Linked DNA regions of Bombyx mori. The protein of the gene in region 1 binds, or shares a complex with, the protein of each later gene. Links are inferred from orthologs where the notes say so. Each region holds a gene or a part of one and is shown on either strand. Other genes may lie near its edges.

Region 1 (7,614 bases):
ATTTATGATTTTTTTAACTAACCTGAGACATTTATGTGGAAATAAAAAAAAATTTTTTTTTATTGCTTAGATGGGTGGACAAGCTCACCTGGTGTTTAGTGGTTTCTGGAGCCCATAGACATCTACAACGTAAATGCGCCACCCACCTTGAGATATAAATTCTAAGGTCTCAAGTATAGTTACACCGGCTACCCCACCCTTCAAAACGAAACGCATTACTGCTTCATGGCAGAAATAGGCAGGGTGGTTGGTACCTACCCGCGCGGACTCACAAGAGGTCCTACCACCAGTTTAAATATGTACTTACTTCACAAATTTCACGAACTTTTGCCCTCTTAAAGCAATCTTGCGGCATAAGAGGTCTCTGTGGTCTTGTCTCCTCTAAATAATGCATGATGTTTAATGATTCAATTAGAGTGTGCCCATCTGTCAATCATAACACAAAGCAAAATGACACTAAAATTTTATAATAAGTATTGATTGTTTTGGTTCACTTAAAATGTTTAATATTTTAAAATTAATATTTTTTATTATTTTTATTGCGTAGTTGGGTAGAAGAGCTCTCAGCCCACCTGGTGTTAAGTGGTTACTGAAGCACATCTACAATGTAAATGCACCACCCACATTAAGATATAAGTTCTAAGGTCTCAAGTATAGTTACAACTGCTGCCCCACCCTTCGAACCGAAACGCATAATTGCTTCACGGCAGAAATAGGCAGGGTAGTGGTACCTACCCGTGCGGACTAACAAGAGGTCCTACTACCAGTCATTACGCAAATTATAATTTTGCGGGTTTCATTTTTATTACACAATGTTATTCCTTCACCGTGCAAATCAATCGTGAACATTTGCTGAGCACGTAATTCATTAGAAAAATTTATACCCGCCTGGGATTCGAACACCGGTGCATCGCTCAAAGTGAATGCACTGGACGTCTCATCCTTTAGGCCATGACGACTTCAAATTACTTAAATTTGTTGAGGTTCAGCTGTGACTATCAATATAATGTATGAAATACATCAATTTTTGATGACTACACTTGCACCTTAGTGTCTTAATGATACTAAGCAAAAAAATAATATTTATCACAATCAAATGAATGTTAGTGAATAAGAGGAAGTCATAAATTTTTATTTTTATCCTTTACGTAATATCATTCTTGACAACATTTTAGAAACTTGTTTGTTAATATGCATAATAATCAAGATTCTACCAAAATTTTAGACAGATTTTGGAATTTTCCTATTTATACTTGGTTTAAAATTAAAAATGATTTTATAATAAATTTTAGTTCACAGTATAAAGTTTCTGACACTCTTATACGGATCTAATTGAATTCAAACATAATCTATTTATTGTAAAATAATATTAAACTTATTAATTTAGTAAAATATTTATACTACAGACCAATGCATAAAGATGGTACTTGCTCCATAGGGTTGACTTCTCTATACTCATTGCAGTGTTGTTCTCCGCCTCCCTTAATCAGGCTGACAGCCTTTATGTCGTATGGTATTTCTTTAAGATTGAGTGCTATGCGAACTCGCCAGGAGCATGAGCTGCGCCAGTATGAGTATAATACTGGCTGCTTAAAAAGTAATAAAACAAATTGGAACTTTTGTTATATATTTAAATGGTTGGTAATAGTTTGGAAAGTCCTATTAAAACATCAGATAAGAATATATAGTCTATAGAATATAATAGTTATGTTTATTGTAAATACTTGTGAAAAACATTTTGAAACACCTTTTATTTCAATATATTAAATTAATTTCAGGGCTATTTAACACATAACAACAGGTTGTATTTAACAAATCTTTTCTAACATGAAAGTACAGTAAATACGTGAAATGTTATGTGTTAATTAAATGTTTTTTTTTTACCTTGTTTTCAACAATAGGATCACTCATTTTATATCACACAGTTCGAGGAGATAAGATAGACTGGTAGTACTTAGCCGAGAGCACGATAGTCGCTATATTTAACCTGGTGATTCCAGTTTGCCGAGTTTATTTGAATGTCAAGATAGTCCAGTATGTAAATGTAAATAAATTAATGTTGTTACCTATTTATTTTTTATTTATACGCTCCGTATGAACTCCTATAAGACTTACCTTGCCCATGGCAGAGGATGAAACGGAACCATTATATTTGTTATAGTACGTAATTTTGACGGTTTTGTTTGTCCTTTTAGACAAGAATCGCTAAGTTTGAATATTTATAAAAGATGAGATTATAAACAAACGCTAAGAAGCTCCAATGACTTTTTTGTAGCAACAATCATAGATTATAACCGGATCAGGCAACGCACTTTAAAGTTTAATCTGTGCAGTATACGGTACCACCATGGTATACCAAGTTTGATGTTTGCAATTATTTGGGTTTGTGGTCCACTGAATATATAACAATTGTACACAAATTAAAGACCAAATAATAAACTAGTTCACTGACTAGTGTGTTTTAGGTGATATTGGAACTGTTCGATCAGTTTCTTTCTCTTTGAGAAGAGAAGAGTAGCAATACTAGCTAAATTAATAGCTACAGTAGATAGTAAAAACTAGTTGTACCCTACCAAAACCGCTTTATGCTGTCCACAATATTGCAAAAACTACAGACAAATACAGACCTGTATTACTCTAGTTGGAATAGCCCCTTAGGCTATCAACGATTACGTAAGGGAAAAATAGTTTGAAGATATTCTAATGGCCATCTTTTGGGGCTAAATATCTTGCACTTATAATTTTTTTTTTGCCCCAGATGAATGAGTCCACGTCCCAACTGGACATAAGTGGTTGCTGTTCATGAACCTGAGGCAAAGGTTCAATTTTATTGAATGACGCCCGACCATTGAATGCGAACTGGAGGGCTGCTTCATGGTATAGGCAGGCAGGCAGAACGGTGGTACCTATGAGGGTCACCATAATAATTATTAAAAACCAAAAACATTTAAGCAATGATTTTATTTACATCTTAATTTACAATTTCTATCAACTGCGTCCCTCGCCCGGAGACTGTCAGGATCCTTCTTTGTGTAGCCCGTTTTCGTTAACCTTATTTGTGATTCGCTCCATGACTTCGTGGTTGTAAGTAGAATGTAGCATTAGACCGAGTACGCCCGCTCTACAAAATGAAACAGTACTTTTTTTTTAAATCTGATACAGAACACAAGTCCAGCTCGGCGAATTACCTCACGGCCAAAAGCCTCATGACGTGAATGCTCAGTCAACAGCTTGAGTAAAGTAACATTTAGAATTTAAGATTAACACACACAAGACAAGTTAAACGCAAGACATGTTAAATGTACTTGATTTTCACTATAATAGGTAAAGGAGCCAATTTTTTTATAGCTTAGATAAATGTACCAGCTCACGGCCCACCAAAAGGTAAATGGGCCATAGACATTAACAACATAAATACCGCCACCAACCTTCAGACATGAATTCGAAATCTCAATTTTACAATACAATGGCTGCCCACTACTATAAGCAATACTGTAGAGGTTTTTAACGCTTGAATTTTTGCGCATTGAAGGGATGTTTATTCTTGAGCCGGATGGTATGTTCCAAAAACCTTCTCTGAAACTTTACTGTATTGCGCATAATCGTAGGAACTGTTTTACATAAAGAAACTACATTAGGTTCACATCTGGTGAGTGTATTAAAAAAAATAGCTGAGGAAAATGGACGACAAAGAAAACATTTTGACCTTAATTAAAAAAATAAAAATAAAAAATAGACAAAAGTGTTTCCGTAACATTGTTTCCATACCTTGAAGCCATAGCCAATCTAATACTACGCTCCTGTTCCACAAGTTCATCGAGTTTCAACCATTGCCGGACCCTCTCCATGTCTATCTCGGCTCGACGCAGCTTCTCCCACTGGTAGTGACGCAAGCACGACTTCTTGGGCGCCCGGCAGAACTCGCCCGACGGATCGAACACGTTGCGGACCAGCGGACACCCGCAGACATCGCTGTCGCTCACTTTGGAATCTTTAAAATGTTCTGGACACATCACCTGACGAATTTGTTTATTTTTAATACGCTTTTATTAGCTTCAGGCGTATGTGTGCTTTTGACGCCCTTCAAAACGTCAGATTAATTCGAAATTTGGCATATTTATTAAGGACCGATGACAATGCAATATTTAAAAAAAACTGGAAAAATTGAAATACAATAAAAAATGAAAAAAAAATTGTTTAAAAAACAAAAAAAAAACGTTTTTTATAGAAAATCCAACTAAAAAATAGAAAATTTTTTTAATAAATTTGAATTAAAAATAGGTAGTGTATGAAAAAAATATTACATTGTAAAAAAGCGTGGTACGCGTACTTTTTTTAGTCTTGGGTCATTAAACATCGACACTTACCCTCAATCTCTTACAATATGTTGCATTGATAGGATTGTAATAATCGCAGAACATGCTTTGTCCGTCTATGCGCGTCCTATGGCGACTGCCGAAAGACGCTTGCGCTTCGTATTTTATAAAACATTTCTCCATATGTTTGACGGCTGTCCTCGAGTGGATTTCGTGGCCGCACGTTATGCAGTACATTGAGGTTTCGTCGTCAGCGTCCTGTTGCGAAAATTATTTTATTAATAAAATTCTTGATAACAAAAATTAATTTTAATTACCAAAAAGTTACAATGAACATAAATTTCAATTTATTGTTTTTCATATTCAATACATTATCATAATTGAAAGGATAGTTAAAAGATTTAAAAGGCCAATGGTTTTTTTTTTAGGTGTTATAAATAGCAAAAGAATTTCAGACTTCACGATATTGTGGCATAGCAAACTTTACAAATTGCAACTTTTTTACTGCTACTGAATTTGAGATATTACGTCACTGTAGATTATATTAAAAAGTGATTAAAACAGAACACATGAGTCCCTTGCAGGTAAAGAAATATTCATACTTTTCAATGTTATTTCGGTCACACAAAGTTAATATTATTAGCCAATATTGTATTAGTTATTATTAAATGACAATATATTGAACATATTAGTATAAGTGAACAAATCCGTTTGAAAAGTATTGATGGAAGATTTAAAAAAAAAAACATATAAATGTATATACAAAATAAAGTATCAGGACGAAGACAATTTAAGTATTTATGTTTTAAAGTACACCTTCAAAATGAGGCTGTCAACGCAAAAGTGGCTTAACCCACAATTCATATTCATGCTTATGTATTGTGATTTATTTAAAACATAATAAATTTTGATGCAAAAGTTAGTTTCAATCCATAGATAACAGATGACTTTGTAAACATTATTTTATCACGTTTTTTTTTGGCTACGAAGTATTGTAAAGGTAAATTCGAACCTCATTATCTCCATACTAACTATGGTAAGCTTAGGCCACTTTTGTGCTGACGTCCTCAAATAACACTTTTTTTTCTTCTAAAATCCATTGAAAAGCCACTAAATTTCTATTTTAAATAACAATTTTGTACCTTATCATCCGTATGAAGAATTGTAGCGTTTTTAGCTTTGGCGAGCAGTGCGTCCAGATCTGTGTGCTGTTTGTCGAGACTCCGCAGCGCGGCCTGCGCTTTAGCGATCCCGCTGCGTACCACTTCTAGTGCCTTGCGGTTCTTCTGTTCGGCAACGCAGCTCGACAACGACCATTCTTGTATTCGTTGTGGGAGCACCTGAATTAGCATTATATTGAATCAATTGACACCAGGCATTCCTCATATAACTATGAAATATAGATTTGTCATTTAGGTGCTGTTCCAATACTAGCGACCGTCTTTAGCTATTAGGCAGTAATCAAACCAGCCAGGAATAGAAAGTTTTGAAAAAAAAAGGAAAAAATTCTCACATGTCTGCGAAATACAAATGAAAATAAAAAAAACAAACTTGGTATATCCGGGAAGTGGCGAGCCTTATCCCGCACTGTGAGGAGCAGTACTTCGAGGAGTACCGAGCGGGCAACGTGCACTGCGGTCCGTAGCACTGACGCGCATGCGCCGTCTGTAGATGCGCCAACGATTCTTCTGGCTCATACGGTTCACGTTCATGATGCTTCTTCTTTATTCTGCTACTGCTGTTGTCAATTTCATTTACAATTTCAAAATCCGTCAGTTAACTCCAATACTTTTATTTCTACTTATTGCTCATACATCAGTAGAAGCTCTGAGTAGTTCCATTGAAGTATGTCAGATGGCAAGAGTATTGTTTCAACAGAATATGACATAAGGTTGTTATATTATGTTTGTAGCTTAGTTACAGCAAAGCAGAGCCCTTTTAACAGTTATATGCGGAATCAATAATATTACATTTTTAAAATCTAGCAATGCTTACCTGGGTGGTTTAGAAGATTTTTTACTTTTAACACAAACTCTCAATTTGCACCTGAACTTTTTATTAGCACTTCCATATTTGAACATCTCCTCACATGCATCACAACTGCAATGAAAACCATTATAGTGATCATACATTTCTGTACGACAAAAGAACAATGGGAAAATGTTTGGAAACAATACTGTTATGAAATGAAACAAAAGATTGTATCTGTTTATTGTATATGTAAATTTTCTTGAATTAAATCTAAATATTTACTTTAAATGAACAATGTTTGGGTACAATTCAGTTAACTTAAAGTGTAACAAAAGAAATCCAAATTTTTGATCAATATTTATATCTTTTAATATCAATTTGTAAAAGTTAGAAATTTATATTGATTAAAGCACTTTTTCATGTAGAAAAATGAGTAATCACTATATATACACTATATATACATACTTTGCATTAATTCATTTCTTCAAAATTACTATTTAAAAAATTACAAAGTGAATGTCTGTCTATGATCTATTGATAGCAATAGCATCTTTTTGTAGTGCTGTTGGTAGATACTGCAGTAAAAATCCGATAAATGGGGCATGAGGTATACTCACTGGCCACAATCGTAATCTTGTAAGCAACCAGGGCAATCTCCACAACCATCTTTTATTATAGTTCTCTTGGAAGATTTATTTTCCGAATGATCCTTTTCTTTCCGCTGCTTTTTTCGATCATCTCGACCTACAAAAGAAACACGGTACAATAACAAAAACGTTTTATGTTAACTTTTATTTTTTAATGGCTTTCGGTTTCTAGTTTTATTCAACCAATATGTGAGTCACGGTTCAAATTGATTGAGAGATAAAAATCAATCATACTTCATACATCTATTTTAAGGTAATGCAATGCTAGGATTTAAATTTTATTATGCAGTCCTATCATACAATACTAATAAATGTAGCAGTATAGAAAAAACTAGACAAAAAAAATATTTATACCAGAATCAACCTCGTTTTCTCTTTTTTGTGGTCTGAACCTTGTCTTCAAAGTCGGATCTTCCTCTCTACATCGGTCACAGAAGTAATTCTTGATGTACTTTGATTCTCTCTCAGAAATGTTGATACAATCACCATGATACCATTCCTCGCATGCATCACATGCTCTGAAAAAAAAAAACTTTTTTACTGTATACCTAAAAGGTTTTAAATAATAGTTAAATATCAGCAGAATATATTTCAACTACTGAGTTACATCAATGTGGCCAATTGAACAACCACTGTCTCATTGTCACAGCATACAAGATTCAGTATGATTTTCAGTCATC
Region 2 (7,850 bases), on another chromosome or scaffold:
CAATCAGCCTGCACAGACTACTCAAGACTGCATTATTATGTTGGTGCTGGTATAGAAAGTTGTAGGACGACTTCGTATGTAGTATTACGTGGGACCATAGAGTTAGTATATTTATAGGCTTATTACACTTGGCTGAATTCAGACGACTGAAGTCAGTCAAGTGTAATAGCATTAAGTAAGTTAGTCTACTGAATTCAGTAGCAAGGATGGTTTCTGATTGACTGAATCATTTAGAAGCCTAATTAGAAACACATTTAGGAAGGTGTAATCGCATTTAGTTACTTAATGATTTCACTTAATTTTAACTGAAATTTTCAGTCGTCCCATAGCTCTCCGTGCGTAAGGACGTTTTACTTTGTTTTTTACTTCCGAATAAAAAGTATTTATTTCTGTCACCTTTATTTAATGTGCCAGAGATTTATAAATAGCCCGACATGTTTCAGGCACAATTTTTGTCATCAGGGGTTGGGATATTGAAGAACTAAATTTTAAATCTTAATACGAATTTCCTGTTGCAAGAAATCTTAATGTTACAACCAATCTTTCTTTTGGACTTATACTATCGTAGGATTAGATATGTAATAGTTATATAATAGATATATAGTAGACTATCGTAGGACAGTATCCTGCTTTCGAATAAACGGTGTTGGTTTAATATTAGGTCAAACGATCTCGAATCCATTCCATAATTTCTGAAGTCTGCTGGTTATAATTATATCACTCATAATCTTCATATTTGCTAACTTTCCGCGCAGCAATAAATATTTCTTTAACCATATTAATCTTTTTCTTTTTTTTTGTTTCAATTGAGCCGATAGCGAGGGTTACGCCAAGACCAATTTTGTGTTGTCTAGACCATAGATTATACACTTAATGTCTAGACAATAGTGGGGCCATCCTCTTACACACACGACACGCCCAACTTCGTCGCGCTTAAACTAACAATTGATTCAGTAACTGAATTTAGAACAGTGTAATCGAAAGCTTCTAACTTGCTTATAAATTTGCTTCTGAATTCAGTCGATTTTTGGGGGTCGATTGCTTCCCGCTTCCGTAGGCTTAACCCGCGATTCCCTATAAATGACCCCTGGGTGGTGCTAAACGGGAGTCGAAAACATAATCGGTGGTAGGACTAGTCCGACTGGCTGGCGACCGCCCTCCATAGTTGAGTGAGTTCGCCGCCAAATAGCCTAGCTGTGTTCCGGCGTGTGGGTTGGAGAGCCAGTTTTATTCCTTTTCTTTCCTCTTCCTTGTTGGGGGTGAATCTTGATGATACCTGGAACATGCGGAGCAGACGTGCGTGCGAGCTTGCGGGACGTGATTGTTTGACGGGGATCTGTGGAAGTGCACAAACGTGGGAAAATGCAACAAAGCTGCTGGACCTAACTTCTCGGGATCCTCCAAAAAGTCCACTGAAAAAATCTCTGTAAATGACCACCATTTTACTGAGATTATATTTCACCCCAAATAATCTCATCTCATTTCATATCATCTCATCCCATTTCATTTAATTTCATCCCAGTTGATTAATGACTCAAATTAATTATCTTCTGTTTATTTCATTTTACTCCACACTACCAATCATTTTTCATAAAAATAAGAATATAAATTGAAATAAGAATTGTCCTAAAGGACTTAGTTACCAGGTCGTAAAATCCCTTAAAAAAAAACAAGATTTCGATAAGATTTACATTTTACATGCAATAAATGCAATAATTCAATTTAACTTTGGTTCGGAGATGATCAATTATGATTATTTTTCTTTTAATCGATATAATTGTTTTTTGTACCCTTTAAATTCGTCTTCTGCCGTATTTGCATAACAACAAATCTTGAAATTAACGCAAAAAAAATTAAGTCGATTTATTGAGATTTTAAGTTTACTCACTAAATTGCACTGTTCGTCTCTGGAAATTATTTTAGGAAGATATCGTCTTATTTATATGTCCTGTATATCATTCGGGACGAGATTTGACGACATTTGAAAAAAATATCTAAAGGTTAAAATGTTGCCGCCGGATTATCCACGAACTCGCCCGAAATCTAAATTGGTTTGTTTAAAAAAATGTAAAGCACAGTGAAATGCTGAATGCACCACCAATTTACCACATGAATAGTTGAATCTGCTACAGAAGAAGGAAGGTTTATATAATTAGGTACATTCAAAAAGGTAACAGCAAAACAATGTAGTAACAAGTATGGAGAGTAGGAATAGTCCTGCCTACAGGATTCACTTGGAAGTACAAAATTCAGTTAATATTGGTGATATAGTAAAATGCATTTGCCTTTCATTATTGAAAGTTAACTTTGAATAAGACTTAAATTAAATTAATTAATTAAATTCTTGGGTTCTAAATAGGAGGAGATTTGAACCACTTCGATCATAGTCAAACACTTGAACTATGTGGGTTTTTTTGGCAAAAATTAAATATGGAGCTAAAAGAGGTGAAGCTGCAATGGAGGATATGCAAAATATGCTCTGAAATCATGGACATTATATTTTGAAATAGGTTGGTGAAGGTTTATAATGCAATGGAGAACGCTTTCAATATATATAGATTGTTTTATTGATGGTTTATGCAAAAAACTTAGTGTACCTTAAATAATAAGATAATGAAGAAATATGAATTAAAAGAAAACTATAAACTAATTATTTTATTTTACTCATCATAGCCACAGAATAGACATAATAATAATTATTTCCTATCCATTAGTTTCTGTTGCACAATTATGTATTATATTTTAAAAACACGGAATAATAAAGTCACAAAATTGTTTATCAATTGACTTAGCCACTATAGTAATAAACTACTTATCTGAGGGTTTTCTAATAGAAAAATGAGATGATGTCTTTTATTGACTATTTTAAATAATAGATATTATCTTCTGAAGTAGGTTTATATATTAGATGAACTCAGTGCCTCCTGATAGAGATCTTTTCTAACAATTTCCTTTGTTTTCACCTTTCGCAACTCCTTCAGTTATGATTCTTCTTGATCTCCCTTTTCCTTCTTCCAACATTAGAATAAGTGTGTTGGGATCTTGCTCTTTTTTTTTTATTGGACCAATTGCTTCTCCAGTTTGTTGGTCTGCCCTAAGGTTTAGTATAACTCTTGCCTTGGCTCTTATTGATGTTTCATTTTCTGAACTGATTTTCATCAAAGGCGTAGTGGTAAATGGTTATCAATACTCATGAATTTCAACAAACCCATGAGCATAGCCACAAGCCGCCACATACCAAATTCAATATAATGTAACACAGGCCAAAAGACTGAATGAGTATGGTTCTACTTTATGGACATACCAAAGACCAGTTTCACAGTAAATTTTCTTCAGTATCTAGATTTTATCTTCATTCCCTATATTATTATGCTTCATAGATTTACTACATATTTTATCTATATCCATGGACAACCCTATTTTAATTGTGTACCAAACACAACCTGTGTCCTGTTTTAATACATATTGTCTTTTTATACTTTTAGATATTATAGTTTATTGGGTTCAATACAAAAAGGTCATAGTGTCTAAGTGACTTTTATTGTATGCATCCACATAAACAACTATTTACTAATCTAAGAGTAAGAGCATAATATTAAACCTCATTTTTAATAAAACAAATAGTATTTTTTTGTTTATGACACTTACTACATAACTTAGGTTTATAAATGGTCAAAAAAGTAATACATTACAATATACATTAAAATTGATTAGGTACTTGGAGGAATTATTCAAAGTATTGGTCTACTTTTTCTATATAAAGAATTAAACATCATCAATTGTGGGTAACCAGAATGCCATATTTGTACATGCTGATGCCAGCATCATGAACTTAGGATTGAACTGTACGCATTGTATAGGTGCTGGATGATCACCATTCAAGACACATACTTTGTAACCAGTATCAGCATTCCAGACATGAACACGACCATCTGTTGAACCACTGAAGATGTACTGGGAATCAGGACTAAAAGATGCTTCTATAGGTATCCCTTTGTTGTTTAAGTGTCCAGTGAAGGTTTGAAGTGGAGTTCCATGATATGCATCCACCAAACGAATTATTGACCCATTGGTACTTATTAACATAGTTTTGCCATCACGGGAAAATTTCAAACCTGTCCAATCACATTCCTTTTCTTGGTTTAATTTAAATGTGACAAAGGGGCCCTTGTCAAAAGACCTCAAATCATAAAGCTTGATGCTCTCGGAATTAACGCCAGCTGCAAATATGAGACCTTCAGGGTCATAAGCTGCAACAGGTCTTCCAGATAAATGCATTAGTCCCTGACAATTAGGCGACCGAAGATCCCACAGTCGTAATGTTTTGTCTAATGATCCAGATAAAAATGTGTCTTCAACCGGGGATAAACACATTGTCACAACTTTTTTTGTATGCCCTGGGAAATATCTAATGTACTTGTTATCGTGAAGGGATAAATACCGTATTGTGTCGTCTACTTTGGTGGAACTGTGAATTGCAGTGTTTTTGGCATGTGTAAAATGTATCAAATCGACCCCGTATTTTTTACTGTTGACCGTAATCATTTGTGTTCCTTTTTCACAATCGTATATAACGATTTGATCATCTTCGCTACATGAAATCAATGTCTCCCCATTAGGAGAAAAATCTATACTGTTAATTTTGTCTGTATTTTCACGGAATACTTTGGCAACTTTAAAGCTTCGGACAACTTGATCAACGAGTTTCATCATTTTTATGCATATAACCGATGTTTTTGTTCTTTAATTTTCACACTTAATAAATTACAAAGACAGCCTCGTACAATAATTGAAGTGTAGCTTTATAGTAATATTAGGCGGTATGCACATATGTACCTACATAATATAAGTATAATTTTATTTAGCTCTATGGTATAATCTATGACGCATAATGACACGCACCAGAGACACTTTTCTAGCCAGAAACCAAAGTCTGCAAAGAACTCGATTGATACCTCACAATAAAAATGATGAAATTACTTTTTGGCTGAAACGCCAAGAGTGAAATTGTGTAGATTATATTATTTGCAAATTTAATGCCTCTTTGGGTGAGCTACGGATTTGGTTGCAGTGGACCACGGTAAACTCTTCCTCTACCTCTCTTGGGTTCTGTTTTGAACGCGTATCGGACGTTCGGGCCAGTGTGCAAGGGACTCGCTTAGTAGGTGCCCACCCCATCTAGCAGTCCCATAACCCTCGCAACTCCTTGGCGCGGGGATTTCGTGTGGGAGTACGCCCACTAGCCCAAAAAAATAATCATAATTCATAATCAAGAATAGAGGAATCCTGATTTTCAGATACTTTTAACGGTTGGGGAAAAAAAATTTGTTCGTGTTCAATTTAATGTTCCACAGCACGTTCAAGAACAAGTGAGAACATAATTCTAAATGGAAATTTATGAATCTTTGAGTATTTTCGACCGCGCATGAAACGTTCGGTAGACATTTCAATGTATATCACAATGTTGTATAGCGATCACTTACATACGAAAACCTGTATCCTTTTTATTTGTCAGAAGATTGTTCATGAAATTCATCCGCAAAACAACACAACCCCTCTTATTCTCTTTTTCACGGGTTGTCACTAAATTCCTGACAGATTTTGTATAATTCCTATCCAAATTTAATTTTTAATCTTCCATCGAAAACATAATATGCTTCTGCAACGGACATTGACTATTTTTAATGAAAAATAATGTTTTTTACCGTTACATAATTTTAATATAATATATTTGACCTTTGCTTGTACTGAAATAACGTCATCATTAACTTTATTCAAACAGAGAATTAGTCGATTGTGGAATGCACTGCCAGCTGCAGTTGGAAGTGCTCCAAATATTAAACGCTTCAAAATCCCAATACTACTGCTAGTATCTCGTTAAAAAATTAGGCGCGGTAACTTAATTCCCGACATAAAAATCTTTGGCTAGCCCATACTGTGAGCTTCGAAGGCTACGGAATTAGGCGTCACTCTCGACAGGGAGATGGCATTCGGACCCCACATTAAGTCAGTACGCGACCGAACCGCGTTCCTACCCGGTCGTTTTTTTTTTTTTTTTATGTTTGAAAGATTGCTGGTGGCCCGGAGGCCTTTCCAGCTTCGCCAGGACAGGTGGGCGAGCAAAGACTCAGCCAGGTACTCGGTCGTCTCGACCCCATGATCTGCAAGCGAAGTGAATTGTCCCTTCATAACAAGGTGACACTCTACTACTACTAGCTTCCATACATTCTGTCATGATCTATGCAAGTCTAGTGTTCGCTCACGCGGCCCGTACACACATTAGCTCTCTATAGGTCATCCAATCCCGTTTCTGCAGGATAGCCTACGGAGCACCGTGATATGAGGAATGCAATTTTCACGCCGACCTAAATCTAGTACCTATCGATACGTAAGTATCTTAAAGATGCATCAGAACGCTATTTTGATAAAGCGGCGTGACACGAAAACCCTATTATCGTGGCCGCCGCTAGTTACTTAACAGACCGCGACGCACGGGGCAACGCAAAGCCGCCGTCGCCCGAAACACGTCTTGTTGGATTCCCCGGATTCACTTTTGTTGCTTTTCGGACCCACAAGCACCGGGCACTCTCACGAGCGAACGAACCGGCAGATACGCCGGATCTTCTCAGTGGGTCGCAATTCCATTCCGGTAGCAGATTCAGCAAAACACTGCTCTTGCTAAGGCTAATGCTAGCAAATTATCTCAAGTTGAGCTTGTGAGCTCAACTACCCATCCGGACGTAGCTGAAATAGCCTCTTAGTCTACCAGCGAATAGACAGAGAAATAAAATGCTTTATAAGAATGATGAAGGAACATTACTTGTCTGCTTTACTGCTTAGTGTTATTTGTTTGTATATGCTTTATCATTTCCATGTTGTTGATTCAATATGTGTACTAGTTTGTAAGTATATTGGTATATAAATCTTTAAATATTTTTCAATTTACTTTATGTATGTATTTTCTATAGTAATGTATTTGTTAATAGAACACCGTAACATACCTGTTCTATATTTATCTGTTCAAAATTTCTGTAAATAAATCTGTTGTCTGGAAGAAATCGTTTTTAGCGATAAAACCGCTTATTATGCAAATACATCCACTTGTTGACTGCTTTTTTTAAAAGTTAATTGTGTGCAAATTGCAATGAAATATATGATCTCTCTTTTTCACTCTGATAAGCTCAAAACGTTTTTCTAATTTCAACTTTGAAAAACAATAACTTTTTCAATTAATTAGTAAAAATAGCTTCAGATCCCTGGATGCAAGCAGCGTAGAACTGATCGCTGTGACGAGGTTTGGAAAAGGCCTATTCCTATTAGTGGACATCTGTGGGCTGAAAGATAGACGGAAACAACTACAGTAAATATTTGAAAATATTTAAATTAGTTTCTTAAATCAATCTATATTTAATAAATAAAATGAAAAATAAAAAAAATATATATATATTTATGAATGCCAACCATCTACATCTACAACTACATCTGTTTTTTTTAACGCTGGAATCCATTTACGATTTACTAGATCTGCCTAAGAAAATCTAACTTGTATCATTCTTTCAAAACAACAAATTAGCGTTTTTAAACCGCAGGGTGCTCTAGTTTAATGGATCTAATTCTGCGTGGTCTCGTTATATTAAGTGTATTATCTATGGTCTGACTTTTTGGCGGGAACGCGAGAAGTGACGTTGTGTGTTTTGTTTTATTTTGTCTATTTAGTGTTTCTTCAGGTTTAAATGTGTAATAACGGTGGTTTATTAACTGTTCAATATCTGTGTGAAAGTGCACAAATGTGGAAAAATGAAACAAAGCCGCTGGACGTAACTTCTCGAGATCCTCCAAAAAGTCAACTG

Evidence for each region. Proteins that work in one complex are often made in the same cells at the same time.
Region 2: CXXC-type zinc finger protein 1 (region 1) and WD40 protein share a complex: the UniProt entries of both Drosophila melanogaster proteins name them as parts of the SET1 complex. The link is inferred for Bombyx mori from reciprocal best matches to the Drosophila melanogaster genes Cfp1 and Wdr82.

Annotation. Positions count from the first base shown.
Region 1 is NC_085131.1:9,124,371-9,131,984, reverse strand, and holds the end of CXXC-type zinc finger protein 1, read right to left. Parts: intron 7,453-7,614; coding exon 7,289-7,452; intron 7,032-7,288; coding exon 6,905-7,031; intron 6,417-6,904; coding exon 6,312-6,416; intron 6,055-6,311; coding exon 5,868-6,054; intron 5,657-5,867; coding exon 5,459-5,656; intron 4,575-5,458; coding exon 4,368-4,574; intron 4,017-4,367; coding exon 3,769-4,016; intron 3,122-3,768; coding exon 3,016-3,121; 3' UTR 2,947-3,015; downstream 1-2,946. Other genes in the region: GSTz1 (glutathione S-transferase zeta 1), read right to left, coding at 308-426, 1,409-1,589, 2,116-2,124. UniProt on the Drosophila melanogaster protein: Component of the SET1 complex that specifically di- and trimethylates 'Lys-4' of histone H3. Essential for Set1 association with chromatin and trimethylation of histone H3 at 'Lys-4' at transcription puffs.
Region 2 is NC_085110.1:8,525,607-8,533,456, forward strand, and holds WD40 protein, read right to left. Parts: upstream 4,778-7,850; 5' UTR 4,714-4,777; coding exon 3,766-4,713; 3' UTR 2,699-3,765; downstream 1-2,698. Other genes in the region: carnitine O-acetyltransferase, read right to left, coding at 1-172. UniProt on the Drosophila melanogaster protein: Component of the SET1 complex that specifically di- and trimethylates 'Lys-4' of histone H3.